2 linked regions of the Caenorhabditis elegans genome follow. The protein of the gene in region 2 purifies or fractionates together with the protein of the main gene of each other region. This does not show direct contact. Each region holds a gene or a part of one and is shown on either strand. Other genes may lie near its edges.

Region 1 (7,210 bases), 8.6 Mb from region 2:
AAAGAGATACGAGCAGCTAAAGATGATTTTTCTTTTCTTTTTTTCTAAAAAAAATCACAACGAGACCAGCTGACTAGAAATAATTTGTTCTGGAAGGTTGATACTTGTTTATCAGGCTTTCAATTTATCAAGTGTCCACTTGAACGTTTCATATATTTTTGGTTATTTGTTAATTTAAAATGAGCTTATATAATCACATAAATATTTTTAAAAATTAATTTGGCAAATGGAAATTTTCTAAAAAAAAATGAATGAATTTTATACGACCTATGAGTTTTTATGAGTTTTGGAACGACTCCCAGACTTTGTTAGGCACGTTTGTATTTCAATGAACTTGTTCTTAAAAAATTTATTACGCGCATCTAGTCTGAAACTATGTGCACACCAGTAGGCCAGTAGGCAGATATCGGGTTGAAAACAGCGAGGAAGGCTGTCGGGTGAACTTGTCCGCCTGATTTGGACTACTTTTTTTTTAAAGCAGAGCTAGAGAAATTATAATAAAATTCAAGAAAAATGTATAGACCTAACAAATGGGAAATCAAGCGTCGGAAAAATTTAAGAAACCACTATTGATGAAACCCATAGCAAAGATTTTTGCGGCAAGGAAGCATAGAATTTAAAAAAAAATTTAAAAACTACTTCTAAACTAGAATACTTTTCCCATTAATATGAGTGGTTGAATCTTGATTAAATATGTGACATATAAGTCACCACAAAATTGAGCAAATACTCAAAACTACTTAATAGTTTTGTGAGTCACTTTTATAAACGTTCAAAACTTTCTTCAAAAATAATTTTCAAGTTCACCTATGTACCTTTAATATTTTCTAATTTACAAAAATCTAAACGAATATAAAAATGGATTAAACTTACATTTTGTTCTTCCACTGATTGACTTGGCATTTTCTTGAGCAACTTCTTTTTTCAGTAAAACAAATTTCAGATATGTGTGCTTAACTTTCAAAAGATATATCCTTGACTGTCTCCTTATTTTTTGAGCAATTTTGATAAGTTTAGCCAAAAAGTAAGTGGGCGCTCATTTTCGCGACAATCTTTGCTGTCTGCGTCTCTTCGTCTCACGTGCAATTTCGCTGTTCAAATATAAAACAATGCACACACATACAGAAAGGCTATTTTTGACAGGGAGCTCAAGTAAAATGGAGAAAAGCGAAGTTGTTCGGAAATTTTTTGAAATTCAAAAACCTAATGTCAACTTGTAAATACAACTGGGTGGTCAATGTTCAATAACAAACAGAGGGATATTTTGATTTTTGAATTGTGTTGGAATTTCAAAGAACGAAAACCATTTTACCAATTCAGATATTAACAGGAAAGTATGTAAAGAATATTTTCGAAGTCCATATTGACAGTTGATAACTGTTGACGTGGGTGAACCTGACCAAGCACATACATCCGCAAAGTTGGGACGGACGGGCTCTACGGAGTCCAAGTGACAACAATATCTACTTTCTAGACACAACATGACACTCTAAAAAAATCTGCTCAAATAAATTGAAGTTGGCAGAAAAAAAAAAATTTTACAGAAAAATGTTGTCAGAAAGTTGCAAAAGTTTGATAACATACTCACAAACCTTTTTCAAACAGGAATTTCATTAGATTCAGTATTACATTTTAAAATTAAACTCTCCAGATTTCCATGCATCTGCTGCGAAAGTAAATTACAGATTCTGAAAGCCGAAGATTTTAGCTCTCGCGCCAGGTTAAGTTTTATTTCATTCACATCTTATAGTTATCGTATTCCCGAGCAACGTGTTTATTTTCAATTAAACCTAAAAACTCCTTTTAAAATCAAACTTCAATTAGACATTCACTTGTTCTTATCAGCGGAAAAAGTTCAAAAACCTGGCTCTATCGACAGAAGTGAACTTTTCCATGAAAAATAGGCAATAACTTTAAAAACATAGCAGGTGGAGGGTGTAAAGGTTTTATGATTGGCGTATCAAACATTCAGAGCATCGAAAAAGATAATAACATGCACATTAGGCAATTGATTTCTGACGACGATCACACCGAACAATGTGTGGTATATTTGGGATTGTTGCCGCTGGAAATTATGAGCATTTGAATGTTCTTGCTGCAAATGGATTGGCTGCTCTTCAACACAGGTGGGGTTTTAAGTTTAAATTTTTAATAAGCTCTGTCTCAAAAAGTTTGATTTCATACATCTCCTACATTGGTTTCAGTTTGAATTTTTAACTGTTCAGCTCCTCATTCCTAAATATCTAATTTTTCAAAAAGCTCTCGTTTTCTCTTCCCGTTCATTCCGCTTCTGCTTAACTTAAGCCATCGTTCCACAAGAAGGCAAAAGTGTAAACTCCCTAATTGTATCCGAGCCAGTTTAGTCTGACTAGACGTCAATGGAGAAGTTATCAATTTTGCGTCAGAAATACGCTGAATCGCCAACATTAGAATCACGTTGCCAATTGGATGAAAATGACGCGTATGTAGAGATTGAACTGGCGTCTCGTGGGTCACAGCAAACAGCGCTAACCACTCGGACACACGACCAATAAAGTGCTTGTAGCGTTGCAGTGGTTGACATTGTTGCAAACAAGTAGATTGTGCAGTGATTTTGAGTTTGCAAAAAATCGAAATAGCTAAATGAATAAGTCTAGCATTTCTTGCAAATATTGTCTAGTTTCTAAATTGTTTTCCGTGCGTGATAGAAAAATAAAATACTAAAACAAATTAGTTGCAAATTTGCAATTCTTATCATGTATATTTTGCAGAGGAACTGAATCAACAGGACTCGTTGGTTCAGATGGAATCACTCGAGACCACGTGGAAATTATCAAAGGTCATGGACTTGTCCGAGATGTGATTACTGAAGATAATATCTCAAGAATGAATGGGCAATCGATAATAATTGGTCATAATAGGTATTCAACTGCAGGAAAGAAGAAGTCTGGAATCAATTGTGTACAACCATTTGTGGTATATACTGCAATGGGTACTGTAGCAATTGCTCATAATGGAGAATTGGTTGATGCGAAACAAAAAAGAAAGGAAGTACTTCATGAAGGTGTTGGTTTATCAACTGACACTGACTCAGAGCTTATTGCTCAAATGATTGCAAAAGCGATTGCTCTGAATGTAAAATGCAAGTATGGACAAGAGATGGGTGATATTACAAGAGTGAGTTTTTGAAAAACATGAAAATTCTTAAACCAAAAAACTTCAGGAGCTCGCAGTAACAATGTCTGCACTAAACATGTCATATTCTCTACTAGTAATGACATTTGATAGACTATACGCAATTCGTGATCCATTTGGAAATCGTCCACTTTGTGTTGGTACTGTATATTCTAAAAATGGAAATCCAGAAGCATTCATTGCATCTTCTGAATCTTGTGCATTTCCTGCAAATGCTAAATTAGATTTCGAAGTGAGACCAGGAGAAATTGTGGAATTATCGACAGGAGGAATCAAGTCGGTGTGGCAGGTAAACTTACATATATCTTGGCCTGCCTACGCGCCTACCTACCGCCTTCTCTGACCTCATTTTCTCATGTATGTATTTTGTTAGACATTAAAATTTAAAAAAGTGTTTTTAAAGTTTTGCAAATACATGTAGTTTTTAGACTTTCTGGTTATTTTTGGTATTTTCCAAAATTACAATCGAGACAGATGGGCTATGCTGAAAAATCAGAAACCTGGAATTATATGAGTCATTTCAGATGAAACCGAATACTCCTCTGGCTATGTGCATATTCGAATATGTCTATTTTGCACGAAATGATTCAGAAATTGAAGGACAACAAGTACAAACTGTTCGTGAAGAATGTGGAAAAACGATGGCTCTTGAAGATGATCTAGAAGCAGATATTGTTGGAAATGTTCCAGATTCTTCGCTGAGTGCAGCAATTGGATACGCTTCTCAGTCTGGAATCACATATGAACCTGTTTTACACAGAAATTCATATGTTGGAAGATCATTTATAGAACCAAATGATGAGATGAGACAAAATGCGATTAAAATGAAATTTGGTAAAATAAAGAAAACTATTTAGAAAGACTTCATGAATTCTATTTCAGGAGTATTGAAGAAAAAGATTCATGGACAAAGGATTGTGTTAGTAGATGATTCAATTGTACGTGGAAATACGATGAGAACTTTGGTAAAAATGTTAAGAGATGCTGGAGCAAAAGAGGTATTACCCTTGTTGTTAAAAATAATGATTTTTCACCTTATAAACCGTGAAAAAGGTCTTGACACGAGCAAAAATTTTCAGCTACCGTATAACGCGAGTAATTCTCCGTTTTTGCAGATTTTTCCAATACATATATTTGTTGTAAAACTGTGCATCTAGATGTTCAGCAAATATTAAGAAAACAATAGCGGAATACATAAAAACGAGAAACTGGAGTATACGGTAGAGTACGGTATCTTAGAAATTTCGATCGTGTCAAGACCGCATTATTCAAATAATACCTCTAAATTTAAAGGTTCATCTACGAATTGCTTCCCCGCCTGTAAAATTCCCATGTTTTATGGGAATCAACATTCCAACCACAAAGGAATTGATTGCTGCCGAAAAAACAATTCCAGAAATCTGCCAATTTGTTGGAGCCGATTCAGTACGGTATCTTTCGGTTGACGGTTTAGTTTCGGTGAGTTTGAACCTCACTTTCTCCTCAATTTAATTTTTTTTCAGTCTGTTCAAAAAGGAATCGAACGAGCTGCCAACTTCTCTCCAGGACATTGCACCGCATGTCTCACTGGAAAATATCCAGTTGCTATCGATTTATAATTAGTGTTTGAAAAGTTTGAATAGATTATTTGTATTCATGAAAAACAAAATCAATTCAATTAAAAATCAACAATGAATGTGTATAAAAATAAGAACAACAACAGTTTGCGGAAAAAAAATAAAATGATTAACAACAGAAATCAGGACGCTTACAAGCTCTTCTTCTTTCCACGAGATCTCAATGTTTTCTTTTCGACAGCAGCTGGACGGGCACTTGCAGCGACGGATTTGAGGATTGTCTGGAAAATTAATATAACCAAATTTTATTTAAAGTTTTTCGTACGTTGGATAGCGTAGATTTAGCCTGTGGAGTAGCAGCAGCAGCTGCCTTCTTTCCTGCGCGAGTTTTTGGAGTGAACTGTTTGGGTTCCGGCTTTTCAGTTTTAGGAGTCTTGATGACAACCTTTTTGGTGACTGGAGTGGAAACTTTCGGAGTTGCTTGTTTTGGAGTCACGGCCTTTGGAGTAGCTGCTTTTGGAGTTGCAGCTTTCACAATTTTCGGAGTCGTGCTTTTCGGGGTGACATCACTGATAAATTGAACCTCATTGTCAATGACCTTCTTAAGTGGCGTTCTTGGTGTTCCAGACACAGAGAAATCATAGTTGATCCCCATATTCTGCAGCTTCTTCAAAGTTTTGTTGAGATTTTGCACGCGTTTCTTGGCATTGATGACGTCATTTTTTCCGGTGGTATTGTTTCTGGCAATTGTATCTTTTTTAGCGATGCCCAAGTAAGATGGACGCATCACAAGCAGTGGGCCATGGCGCATTGCCTTCGGGATAAGTTCTGGTTTCATCACCTAAATTTAATAAGTTTTTCAAGGATATAATGGTAGAAGTTGACCTACCGTGCACCCGAGACGTTGCTCGAACATCAAGTAACCGTTCATTGATTCGGCAGCGATTTCAGCAACAGCCTTGTTGTCGAATCCAACGTACGCCCATCCCTTATGATTACCAGTCTAAAATAATGATTTAATACTATATTAACAGGTTGCTGAACCTACGCGTCTGTTTCTGGCCACACGAATTCTCAACACATTTCCGAACTGACGGAAATACCCGAGCAACTCCTTCTCGAAGAATCCAAACGGAATACGCTTAATCTTGACAACATAAATTTTCTTCAGCTGCTTTTTTTGGACTTTGTCTTGCTTCTGAGGTTGCTTGCGTCCTCCAGAACTGATCGAAGTTGGATTCTGGGCAACCATTGTGTCTGAGATCTGAAAAATGTGTATATTTCGTGCAATAAAAATTTTCAAAACAATATTTTGCAAATTATAAGAGTTTTCAGCTGTTCAAACATGAAAAATCAGGAAATAAGGTAGAAAAATTAGCTTTAAAATTTTGTGAGGGACAAAAGCAGTGTTACTGGCGCGTTTCTTCGTTGACGCAGTTTCCGTGCAAGGCGCATGTTTCGTGCTGAAGCGCACGCACACAAACATTTTTGTTGTTTCGTCGCATTTCTAAACTTTTTCATCCAATCAACCGATTTTTGATCTCTTATTCTTATCACGAAGGTCAATTATTATTCTAAACGGTTTAGACAATAAATACATACTTTCTATTTTCAAAACTCCAATCAGTTCCTACTTAACTTTTCGCTTTTATTCACTGCCTAATATCAGAGGTAGTTATGTACCGAGACGTAAAATTGTTCAATGTTTTTTAAAGTGTTTATATTTATCCTCTCTGTTCGACTCGTCGATCATTGAGTTTCGATGCGTTCTTTCTTAAATAATTACATTTCAAAACAACATTAACGTCTTTCCCGAAAAAGTCATTCTCCTTTTTGCTGTTTTTTAGATGCATTCATTTTTGTGTAGTGATTAATGATTCCCTTTCAATATTTCCAGATTCAATCGTGATATCGTTTTGATCTATGTTAGCATAAATAATCGTTTCCAATTTAGTTTATTTTTAGGAATGAGTGATTCGGACGACAATGCCTACAGCGATTATTTGGGAAATCGAAGAGCTGCTCTCCAAAAGAAGCGACAACCGGTACGAGTTTGTGAGAGCGACGACTCAGACGACGATTTCGATACCAGCGGTCCATCGCCAATGAGAAAAAAGACGCGGGAAACCCAACTCTTTCCGGACGACTCGGATGATGATGAATGCGTTGAAGTAGAGAAAGAAACATACTCCCAAAAAGTCAGACACGAAATTGATGATGTAGAAGAAGGTTAGTGTTATCATACTTTTTTATACAGCTCATACAAATATTTTAGCTTATCGTCGATCTATTTACAAGCGAGAGACCGTTATTCACGCACCAGTCGAGAAAAACAATGTTATTAGTGGACTGTTGAAAATCTGTGAAGGTTGGGACGAAGCTGCAAAATCAGGAGCACAACCGGAGGTTGAAGATGTGAAAGACGACTCAGACGCGGATGAATCAGTGAGAGGAAAAATTGTTTTTTTCTTAAATTTTGC
Region 2 (9,597 bases):
TTTTTAACAATTTCAGATTCTATCAAACGAATTTGGGGGTTAACTGAATAATAATATTAAAAAATCGATTTTTTTCAGGTAAAATCGAACAAAATTCTTCAAAAAGCTGAAAAATTTCCGATTTCTCGTTTTTGACACAATTCAGAGAAAAATCAAAAAATTATATAACTCAAAAAATGAATTTTTTTAATTCGAAAAACGAAAAGTTGGGGAAACTGTACTTTAAAAAAGAGAAGATGTAGTATAAATATGTGGATTTTGTTTAAAATACTAAGAAAATCTCTTTAAAAGTAGAGAAATTCGCGGAAATTTCCGTAAATTCAAATTTTTTAATTTCAAAGTCAAGAAAAAACCAGTAAATTTAGCTGGGTAACGTAAAAATGCAAAAAAAAATTAAAAAAAAACATTCTTTCAATTTTTGAGACTGTTTTCTATCATTTACAGCGAAATTTTCATTCACAATATTGCTATAATTGCTTGGAACAAAAGTTTTTTTGTAAAAAAGGCAGAAATTCTTCTAACAATGCCTAAAAAATAATTTTTCAAAATTACTTTTTTAGCAATTTCAGATTCTATCAAACGATAAAATTAATGTTCACGAACTGGGGGCCATCAATAAAAAATATGTCAAAAAAAAAAATAAATAATGAAAAAATTTTTTTTTTTTTAAATCAGAATAATTTTAAAAAAATTCAATTTCAGATTCTATCAAACGATAAAATTAATGTTTGTGGCGTGCATCATGATCTCCTATCCTCTTCAATTCTATGTGCCAATGGAAAGAATCGAAAAATGGATTACTAGAAAGGTTTTTTGGAGAAATTTCCATGAAAATTGGTCAAAATTCTTCAAAATTTCAGATTCCCGTCGATAAACAAACATTGTACATCTACATTGCCAGATATTCCGGAGTTATTTTGACTTGTAAGTTTCAAAAAAAAAATATTATTCGCAAAAATTATTTTTTTTTTCATTTTCCGTTTAAAAAAATCTAAAATTGACCTAAATATCGATAATTTAAGTTTTTTTGTTGCGGAAAAATTGTGTTTCAAAAATAATAATCAAATAATAAGTTTAGAAAAAAATCATAACAAATTTAGAAAATTTTAATAAATTTTTAAACAGTTATATTTGGTAAATTGAGACTTTTTCTGACATTTTTGATCAAAAAAATAAAATAATTGGTCTAAAAATCGATAATTATACATTTATTTAAACTTTTTTCGCAGAAAATTGTGTTTCAAATCGATAATGAAATAAAAATTGAGAGAATTTCGGTAAATCCAGACTTTTTCTGAGACATTTTGGAAATATACTATAAAAATTGCACATAAAAATCAAAGGTTTTTTTTCAGGTTGATATCAAATAATTAATTTAGACGAGAAAAAAATTATATAAAAATTTAGAAAAAAACTGATTTTTTCTAATTTTTTGAAAAAAAATTTCCAGGTGCAATAGCTGAGCTTATTCCTCATTTGGCTCTTTTCATCTCATTAATCGGAGCATTTTCTGGAGCTTCAATGGCTCTTCTCTTCCCTCCGTGCATTGAACTTTTGGTAGGAATTTTTGAATTCCAATTTTTTTAAATTAATTAAAAATGAAAAAAATTGAATTTTTTTCAGACATCCTACGCGAAAAACGAGTTGAGCACTGGATTATGGATCAAAAATATCGTTCTTCTCACTTTTGCCTTTATTGGATTCACAACGGGAACCTATAGTGCACTTATCGAAATTGCAAAAACTTTTGCATAGATTTAAATATCTATAATATTTAAATATTTTCAGCGTTTTAGCTGGAAATTCCCAGAATTTTATTGCACCTTTATGGAATTTTTTGGAATTTTTTTTTGTATATTTCGTGTCCTTCCTTGTCGGTTGTTCAATTTGTGATGATGATTTTTTCATATTTTTGCGGCATTTTTTTTTCATTTTCGTTTCATTCCCGAATAACATGTACTATTTATTTTGTTAATAAAATTCGAGCTTCTGTGAATATTTTTTATCGAATTTTTTGAAATATTATTTAAATGTGGTATCAATTTTAACCAATTTATTTAAATATCTCGATTCAATTTTATATTACCCAGCCGCAAAATTTTGCAATTTTCACACTAAAAATACGGTACCCGGTCTCACAACGACAATATTTTGTTAAATACAAACGGGCGTGCACCTTTAAAGAGTACTGTAGTTTCAAACTTGTGTTGCTGCAAATCATGAAATTCCGTACGTTTCAACAAAAGTTTGAAATTACAGTACTCTTTAAAGGCGCACACCTTTTCCGCATTTAACCAATATTTGCCGTGGCGAGACCGGGAAAACCGAAAAATTGGAAAAATGTTTAGAAAATTAACAAAAAAAACTATTTTTTATCAAATTTTATTTATGTTAATGAGAACAAATCATAAGAAACAGATAGTTTTTCTCTAAAAAGAGGAAAATTATATTTTTCCAAAAATCCTTTTTTTTTTCAAAATTTCGACAAAACAAAATTGTTTGGTTTTTCGATTTCTCAAAAAAAAATATCGTAAAAATAACCGCCAAAATCCTAAAGCAAATGTGCTCCATTGAAACGTGTTTTGAAAAGAGACGCAGAGAACGGTGGTGTTCCCGTTCTCTGTATTTTTATTGATTTCTCGCAGTAATTCATTCAACCTATTTTGTTTTAGAAAAATGGCGACACAAGAAGATCTTCAAACGCTTATCTCAATTGTGCCGAATCTTCAGGTAAAATATTTAAAAAAAAATCTAAATATACAATTTTAATTGAAAAAATAATGATTTCAGATGCAAGAAGGCACTCCTTATTACGAAGTTCTGCTCAAGTTGATCGAAGAAATCGGGAAAGACGTTCGTCCAACATATACATTCAATAAGTTGACCTGTGAACGGTTGAAGAGGAATATTCAAGCGGCAAAAGTTCTGATTAGGTAGGTTTTTGAGTTTTTTCGTCGATTTTCCACTCGAATTATAAGTGTCGATCAAATATTTGATCGTCATAATCGAGAAATCAATTGAGAGAAAAAAAATCATTTGCAGAGCGTGTCAACAAGAGGCCGAAACAGACAAAAAAAAGGCAGACGCTGCGATCGAAGCACAAAGAGTTGCGCAGAAATCAGAGACTCCGAAGCCTGAAGAGACATCATCGGAGGCCGCCTCGAAGAATTAATCTTGCTTTTTTATATATGTATTTCAAATTGTATTTATTTTTACCATTCCTGCAAACTGGAAACTTTAATTTTTTTGCTATAATTTCCATCACGATCCTCATGGGTTTTAAATTATTCCCAATATTTTTTCCATGAATATGTGTCTTATTCCAATCTCAATAGTTCACCAATGTATAGACTCGAAATTTGGCGGTTTTGGAGCCAAAACGGCGGTATTTGGTCTCGACACGACAATTTTTTGGTTAAATACAAACTAGTGTGCGCCTTTAAAGAGTACTGTAATTTCAAACTTTGGTTTTTGTAAAATTTTTATCGATTTCTTAACGTTATTCGTTAAAATAATACTTTATTTCTAAAAAACTGAAAATTCGATGAAAATTCCACATCACGAAAAATTTTGGAATTACAGTACTCTTTAAAAGCGCACACCTTTTCGCATTTAACAACAAATTGTTTCGTGTCGAGACCGGACACCGTATTTTTGACGAAAAATTGAAACATTTTACGTTTGAAAACCGCATTTTTAGTAAATTTTCAAAATTACAAATTTTTTGAGCTCATTTAAATGCGATCAAAAAGTGTGAAGCTGTCAAATCGCCCAGCATTTGCTCGTCGGATACCATCAGAGGACACATCACGTGCTTGCGTATCCACGTATCTTCTCGATACATCTTCAGACACTCGATCCGGCTCACTGTGCATTTTGAAGATTGATGAAGCCGACGGGCTACAGTTGGAAAATGAGATTAGCACTTCTGCTGGAGTGTTTCGATTCGATTTCCGAAATCCGTCGACGATAGTTGCAGCGCTAACCGATGGATCACTAGTGGTTCAGAAAATTGAAGGTTTGAATTGTGCCTGAGATTTCAAATGAGCAGGACGATTTTCAGAACCTGTATCATCCGAAACTACACCTGTATCGTCGGATATGCTTTTGGATTTGGGACTTTCGGATTCTTCCCTCACTATTACAACTGACAACAAAGTACTGTGATCTCGCCGGTATTATAGTAGTAGTGGTGCAAAGCACCACCAGAAGGGCGCCATGGGCGTCCATGCCTCAGTGAGTTCCTCCAGGGTAGTAGTAGTAGTAGTGGTGCAAAGCACCGCGATGGATCCGTGGAGGTCCTTGGATCATTGAGATCCGCCTGGATCGAAAGTTCTGGTGGGGAGGCCCAGTGCCTCTGCCACCTTTTTCGGAGTGAGCGGGGGTTGGATAGAACATCTCAGCATGTGTTCCACATTCCCTGTGACATCGCCACACTTCTTGCAGGCTGGCACCGTGTCGTTGTTGATTCTCGCGAAATAGCTTGGGACCATGGTTGAGTGACCGCATCTGATTCTGGCTAGCTCCACTCTTGTTCCTCGCGGCAAGGAGCTTTCCTCACCATTTATGGCGGGGGCAGGGCGTCCAAGTACGTTGTTCGGCTTCTTGCTGTTTAGGAAGTTTTTGATGAAGGTTCGGTGGTTGGACTTCTGAATGGCCTTGGTCGTTGAGCGGGGATTTGTCCAGGCATTGGTGGTGCTGCTCGGATAGTCTAACGGCGGCTCTCTGGGCCTGTTGGTCGTCCTCTCAAGGGGTCTTCTTGCCTTTAGGTCTTTGGATGGGTGGCCAGGGGTGTTCAGTGCTGCAATTGCAAATTGCTGCTTGCGGAGCTCAATTTCCTCGCGAAGAGGAAGCCTCTCCGTTTCCTCATAGATGTGCTGAGTCGGAGAATCACTGGTGAGACCACTGCAGGTGCGGAGGGTCGAATATTTTGGTGGGGAGGCCCAGGGCCTCAGCCACCGTTTTCGGATCCGACCACAATTTTGATGGCGTTAGCGGGGGTTGGGTTGAGCATCCCAACAAGTGTGCCACATTTCCTCTTTGATCGCCACATTTCCCACAGGTCGGTATCGCGAAGTAGCCGGGTACCATCGTGGAATGTCCACATCTCAGCCTTGCTAGCTCCACTCTGCTTCACCCTTGGTAGTGATTTCTCTTCCTCGGCCACCGCTGGGGCAGGGGTGCCCAGCACGTTGTTCACCGGTTTCTTGTTCAGAAATTCCTGCACGAATTTCCTATGGTTTGCTTTCTGGATGGCCTTGGTGGTCATTTGAGGAATTTGCCAGTTGCTCGTGGTGTTGCTAGGGTAATCTAACGGAGGCTCCCTTGGCCTATTTGACGCTCTTTCCGTCGGCCTTCTGAGCTTTAAGTCTTTGGATGGATGTCCTGGCGTATTTATTGACGAAATCTGGAATTGTTGTCTTCTAAGCTCAATTTCTTCTCTCAGGGGCAATCTGGTCGCTTCCTCGTAGATATGGTGTGCTGGGGTGTCACTTGTGAGGCCGCAGCAAGTTCTCAGAACTGCTCTGTAGGCGTTATTATCAAGCCAAGTGGTGCCACGCTGTCCCATGACGGTTTGATCTACAAAAAATGCGGGAATTTTATCCAAAAAAAAAATGACGTCAGCACGTTCTTAACTACGCGAAATCAGTTGAGAACCCGCATTTTTTGTAGATCTCCGTATATCAAGTCAAAATGAGACACTCTGACACCACGTGGAGCTCCAGAGACGCAGAACAACGCGCAAGTGCGCTCTACTGCCAAGAATTGGGTCCCAATAGGTAATGGCGGCAAAACCTTAATTTCGAAAAATCACATTAAAAACTGAATTTTACATCAATTTTGTGTCAGAAAATATGTATTTTTGTTGTTTTTTTTTGGCGCCAATACCTAACGAGACCCAGAGGCGGAGCGTTCTCATTTCGCTGTGGAGCGCGCTTGCCCATTTAAACGTTTTTTTCTCTATTTTTTGAAATCAGTTCATTTCAGGGCCACGCGTACATCGTCGACCTGAACACATCACTCATCGTTTCCACGTGGCTTGCTCATTCGCTTCCGTACGTTCCTGGTGAAGGATGTGAAGTATGGTCTTGTGCGATCAGCAAAGATGCTCAGACAGTTGTAACTGGCGGAGAGGACGGATCAATGAAGTAGGTTTGAAGGAAAAACCAATTTTCTATTTGAATTCCCTCCAAAATGAGAACTGCAAACCAATCAGAAGGGGTGGGCGGAGCAAATCGCTGATTGGTCCTGCAGTTCTCATTTTGGAGGGAATTCAAAATTCAAACAGAGGGGTTTTAAATCTTCAAATTTTCAGACTCTGGGATGCTCGCAGCCGAACTCAAACCGGTCAATCAAAAATTTTCGAAGCCGGTGTTGTTTTTGTTGATTTCCCGGCTTCGAACGAAGATCAAATTCTAACTGGAAGCTATGACGAGCACGTCCGGATTTTCGATCGAAGGAATTTAAAAACTGTGCTCAAAGAGAAAAAGGTATGATATATTATGGGAGCATAATATTCTGAGAGTGCGTGTTGCACAACATATTTGACGCGCAAAATATCTCGTAAAAAAACTACTGTAGCTCTTGTGTCGATTTACGGGCTCGATTTTCTCGTAAATCGACACCAGCGCTACGAGATATTCGCGCGTCAAATATGTTGCGAAATACGCAACCTCAGAATTTCGAAAAATTGAACACTATCTGTGCCACGTGCAGGATCTCATATCGCCACGTGTCACCAGATTCTACGTATTCAAAATAAAAAATCCAGGCCTTTCAGGTGCGAATCGACTTTATTTTACCGTCCTTCGCGTTTATAGACCTAACAATTTATTGGTTATTTTGAAAATTTCCCCTAAATTTAACGAGAAATTTAAATTATTTTCCAATTACAGCTCTCTGGTGGAGTTTGGAACATTGAACAAGTTGGCTCAGAGTACTGTACTTCCTGCATGTACGGTGGCTACAGTATTCTGAATTCGGACACTCTCGATATTGTCCACGAGAATCGGGATGTTGGATCGAATCTTCTGTATGGAGCAACAAAAATGTCCGCGAATTCGGTGCTCTTTTGTACTTTTAATGATTATTTGGCTGTTTTAGACGAGTATTGATGAAAAATGTTGAACGCCGGTGAATTTGTTAAATTAGTGATTTTTTGCTTGTTGAATTTAATATAATAATAAAAATTGCGTTTACAGAATTTATACCTTAGTTGGAATTTTTACAAGATGAGGGTGTTAATAATAACAAAAAAATTGTACAGCAACTTTCGCGATTTTTGCGCGAAAAGTACGGTGTCCTGGTCTCGAAACGAGAATTTTTTGCTAAATGCGAAAAGGTGTGCGCCTTTAAAGAGTACTGTATTTTCGAACTTTCGTTGCTGTGGAATTTTTATCGATTTTTCATAGATTTGTTGAGTATTTCCTTTTTTTATAACAAACAAATAGATTTTCAAAAAAAAATTATGAAAAATCGATGAAACCTCTGTGCAGCAGCAAAACTTCGAAGCTACAGTACTCCTTGAAGGCACACGCGCGTGCTGAGACCGTGCAACAATCGCAAAGCTTTGCGTGTGGGTAATATCTGCATTTATTTTTAAAAAAAGTTTATACATTAATTGAGCAATTTTCGGAAAGTTTCAGAAAAAGTTGGGGTAAAGAATTTATAAATTAATTTTAGATAAATCGTTGGCCGAATTGGGCTTTTCTAGGCCAAGTATTTAAAAACAGTAAACTAATCAATTAAATGTTTGAAATGCATTAAAAATCCAGTATTCATCATTCCATCGTGTTCCTTGAAAAACTTCTTCAAATAACGTCGTTGGTAGAAAAGTTGAAAGTCAATTTTCCGATTATTGGTAGAGTTTCACAAACGGAACATCTTTCCATACCAGACAGTTACACATCCAAAAGGGCTTTTAATGGTTTCTTTTGGAATATTGAGAATTTCATCGAGATACCAACAATGTTCAGGTTGTTCTCCTACGAGACGTGCGCTTGAATTGAAAATGTGTGGGACTTTTATCGGAATTCTATCGTCTTCTTCATAGTACAATTTAAATGTGACACTTCCATTTCGCTGTTGATTTTGCTCAGTCAACCTAATAAACTTTGCAAAGACTTTGTGCATATTTTCAGGAGCAATTAGAACATTCGTCTCAGAAAGTTTCACAATCATATTCCTGCTTGGGAAGGCCCTTTGAACATTTGCAATTATATTATCATATGGTGAATAATAGTCATAATCCAACTGATCTTCAATGGTAAGTAGAATATCATCCGTGTATTGTAACTTAATTTCCACACTTTCCAATAAATTAGCAGAAACTGGTTCAATGTTCCATGGTGCAACAAACTGAATATTCACTGGATTCTTGAAATTTTCTGGGCACTCGTGAAATTTTTCTGCCATAACATTGTGCGCTCCGAATCGAAAATTAAGGTTAACATTCTTTGCATTCCAGTTCGAAACAGCCTGATGTGTTATTGTTCTCGGCAGTGAGACAATATCTTTGCCATATAGAATGAATGTGAGTGTATCACATGTAATGGGCATTTTAAGAAAGCGATTTATCGGGAAATACACCATTTCTTCATCTTCTTCATCAGTATATATTCGACGCACTTCAAATTTGTCAGCATTCACTATTCCGTGTAGGTGCCTGAAAAAAACTTACAGTGCTGGTCAAATAATTTGTCGAATTATTCAAATGAGCTACTTCAAAACTAGGAACAATATTCTTTAAAAAGTTCAGCTAACAAAAAAATTACATTATTCGTTCGTTTTCATGTTTATTTAATTTTTAATTTTCATTTTGGTCACAGGGAAAATTGAAAAAAAACGCGATCAGCGGATTCTGGGGTAACTGTTTAAAGCTCCTTCTATGATGCTAAAATTAAATTTTCAGAGGGAAACAACGCCCTAAGTTGACAAGGTGCTGCCAAAGTCGTCATAGCAAATATTAGTTAAAATATCAAACGCAAAAACGGGGATTTTGTTAATTTTTTTCATCTTTTCCTCTGTTTAATAATTTTTTAAAATCTTTTTTCCTTTAAAAATTGTTTCAATTTTGATTTTTTTTTTATTGCTGCGTTGCTGATTTCAAAAATAACTCGTTGAAAAAGGCTACATCATGAGTTATTTCGAATAATTTTAACTGATAAAATACTTTCAAAATATTTCTCTAAATGTTGATTGCTGAGCACTGTTTGACAAATTTAAATTAAAAACAGCCGAAGTATATATAAACCTGTCAATTAGAGCAAGTGAATTCTAATAGGGAAAATACGGTAACTCAGTTAGTTTTAGATAACTTGGAATATCAGCGCTGTGAAGAATATGAACCAAAAAACTAACGGCTCAGCGACTTCGAAAACGTCAAAATTAAGTAGTTGTGATCCATGTAAATCTACACCTTCCTGCATTCCAAACCGGATGCAATGCCTGGCAATCCTCTCGGCTTTTAAGTCCCAACCATAATAACTTAAATCAAACATTCCCGTGAATTCCCTTATTCTGTCTTCTGTATTTAAAAAAATGTTGATAGTTTTTTGATAACCGCGAAACTCACCGTTAGATCCTATCAATTCTTTG

Evidence for each region.
Region 1: the proteins of dph-7 (region 2) and ppat-1 fractionate together in Caenorhabditis elegans (co-fractionation; one large-scale study listed by BioGRID). This does not show direct contact.

What each region holds. Positions count from the first base shown.
Region 1 is NC_003281.10:4,687,308-4,694,517, forward strand, and holds ppat-1 (Amidophosphoribosyltransferase), read left to right. Parts: upstream 1-1,972; 5' UTR 1,973-2,037; coding exon 2,038-2,126; intron 2,127-2,326; exon of another isoform or gene 2,327-2,464; intron 2,465-2,750; coding exon 2,751-3,156; intron 3,157-3,202; coding exon 3,203-3,463; intron 3,464-3,698; coding exon 3,699-4,008; intron 4,009-4,056; coding exon 4,057-4,172; intron 4,173-4,467; coding exon 4,468-4,632; intron 4,633-4,676; coding exon 4,677-4,772; 3' UTR 4,773-4,864; downstream 4,865-7,210. Other genes in the region: tag-243 (Costars domain-containing protein), read right to left, coding at 874-903; nifk-1 (RRM domain-containing protein), read right to left, coding at 4,922-5,011, 5,056-5,571, 5,620-5,733, 5,779-5,982; T04A8.8 (Rad60/SUMO-like domain-containing protein), read left to right, coding at 6,698-6,959, 7,006-7,175.
Region 2 is NC_003281.10:13,311,396-13,320,992, forward strand, and holds dph-7 (methylated diphthine methylhydrolase), read left to right. Parts: upstream 1-3,729; 5' UTR 3,730-3,738; coding exon 3,739-4,018; intron 4,019-4,063; coding exon 4,064-4,158; intron 4,159-5,988; coding exon 5,989-6,149; intron 6,150-6,316; coding exon 6,317-6,491; intron 6,492-6,896; coding exon 6,897-7,115; 3' UTR 7,116-7,202; downstream 7,203-9,597. Other genes in the region: slc-36.1 (Amino acid transporter transmembrane domain-containing protein), read left to right, coding at 703-808, 861-924, 1,451-1,557, 1,624-1,755; Y43F4B.10 (uncharacterized protein), read left to right, coding at 2,677-2,730, 2,791-2,933, 3,043-3,172; F53A2.11 (F-box domain-containing protein), read right to left, coding at 7,870-8,665, 9,361-9,526, 9,575-9,597.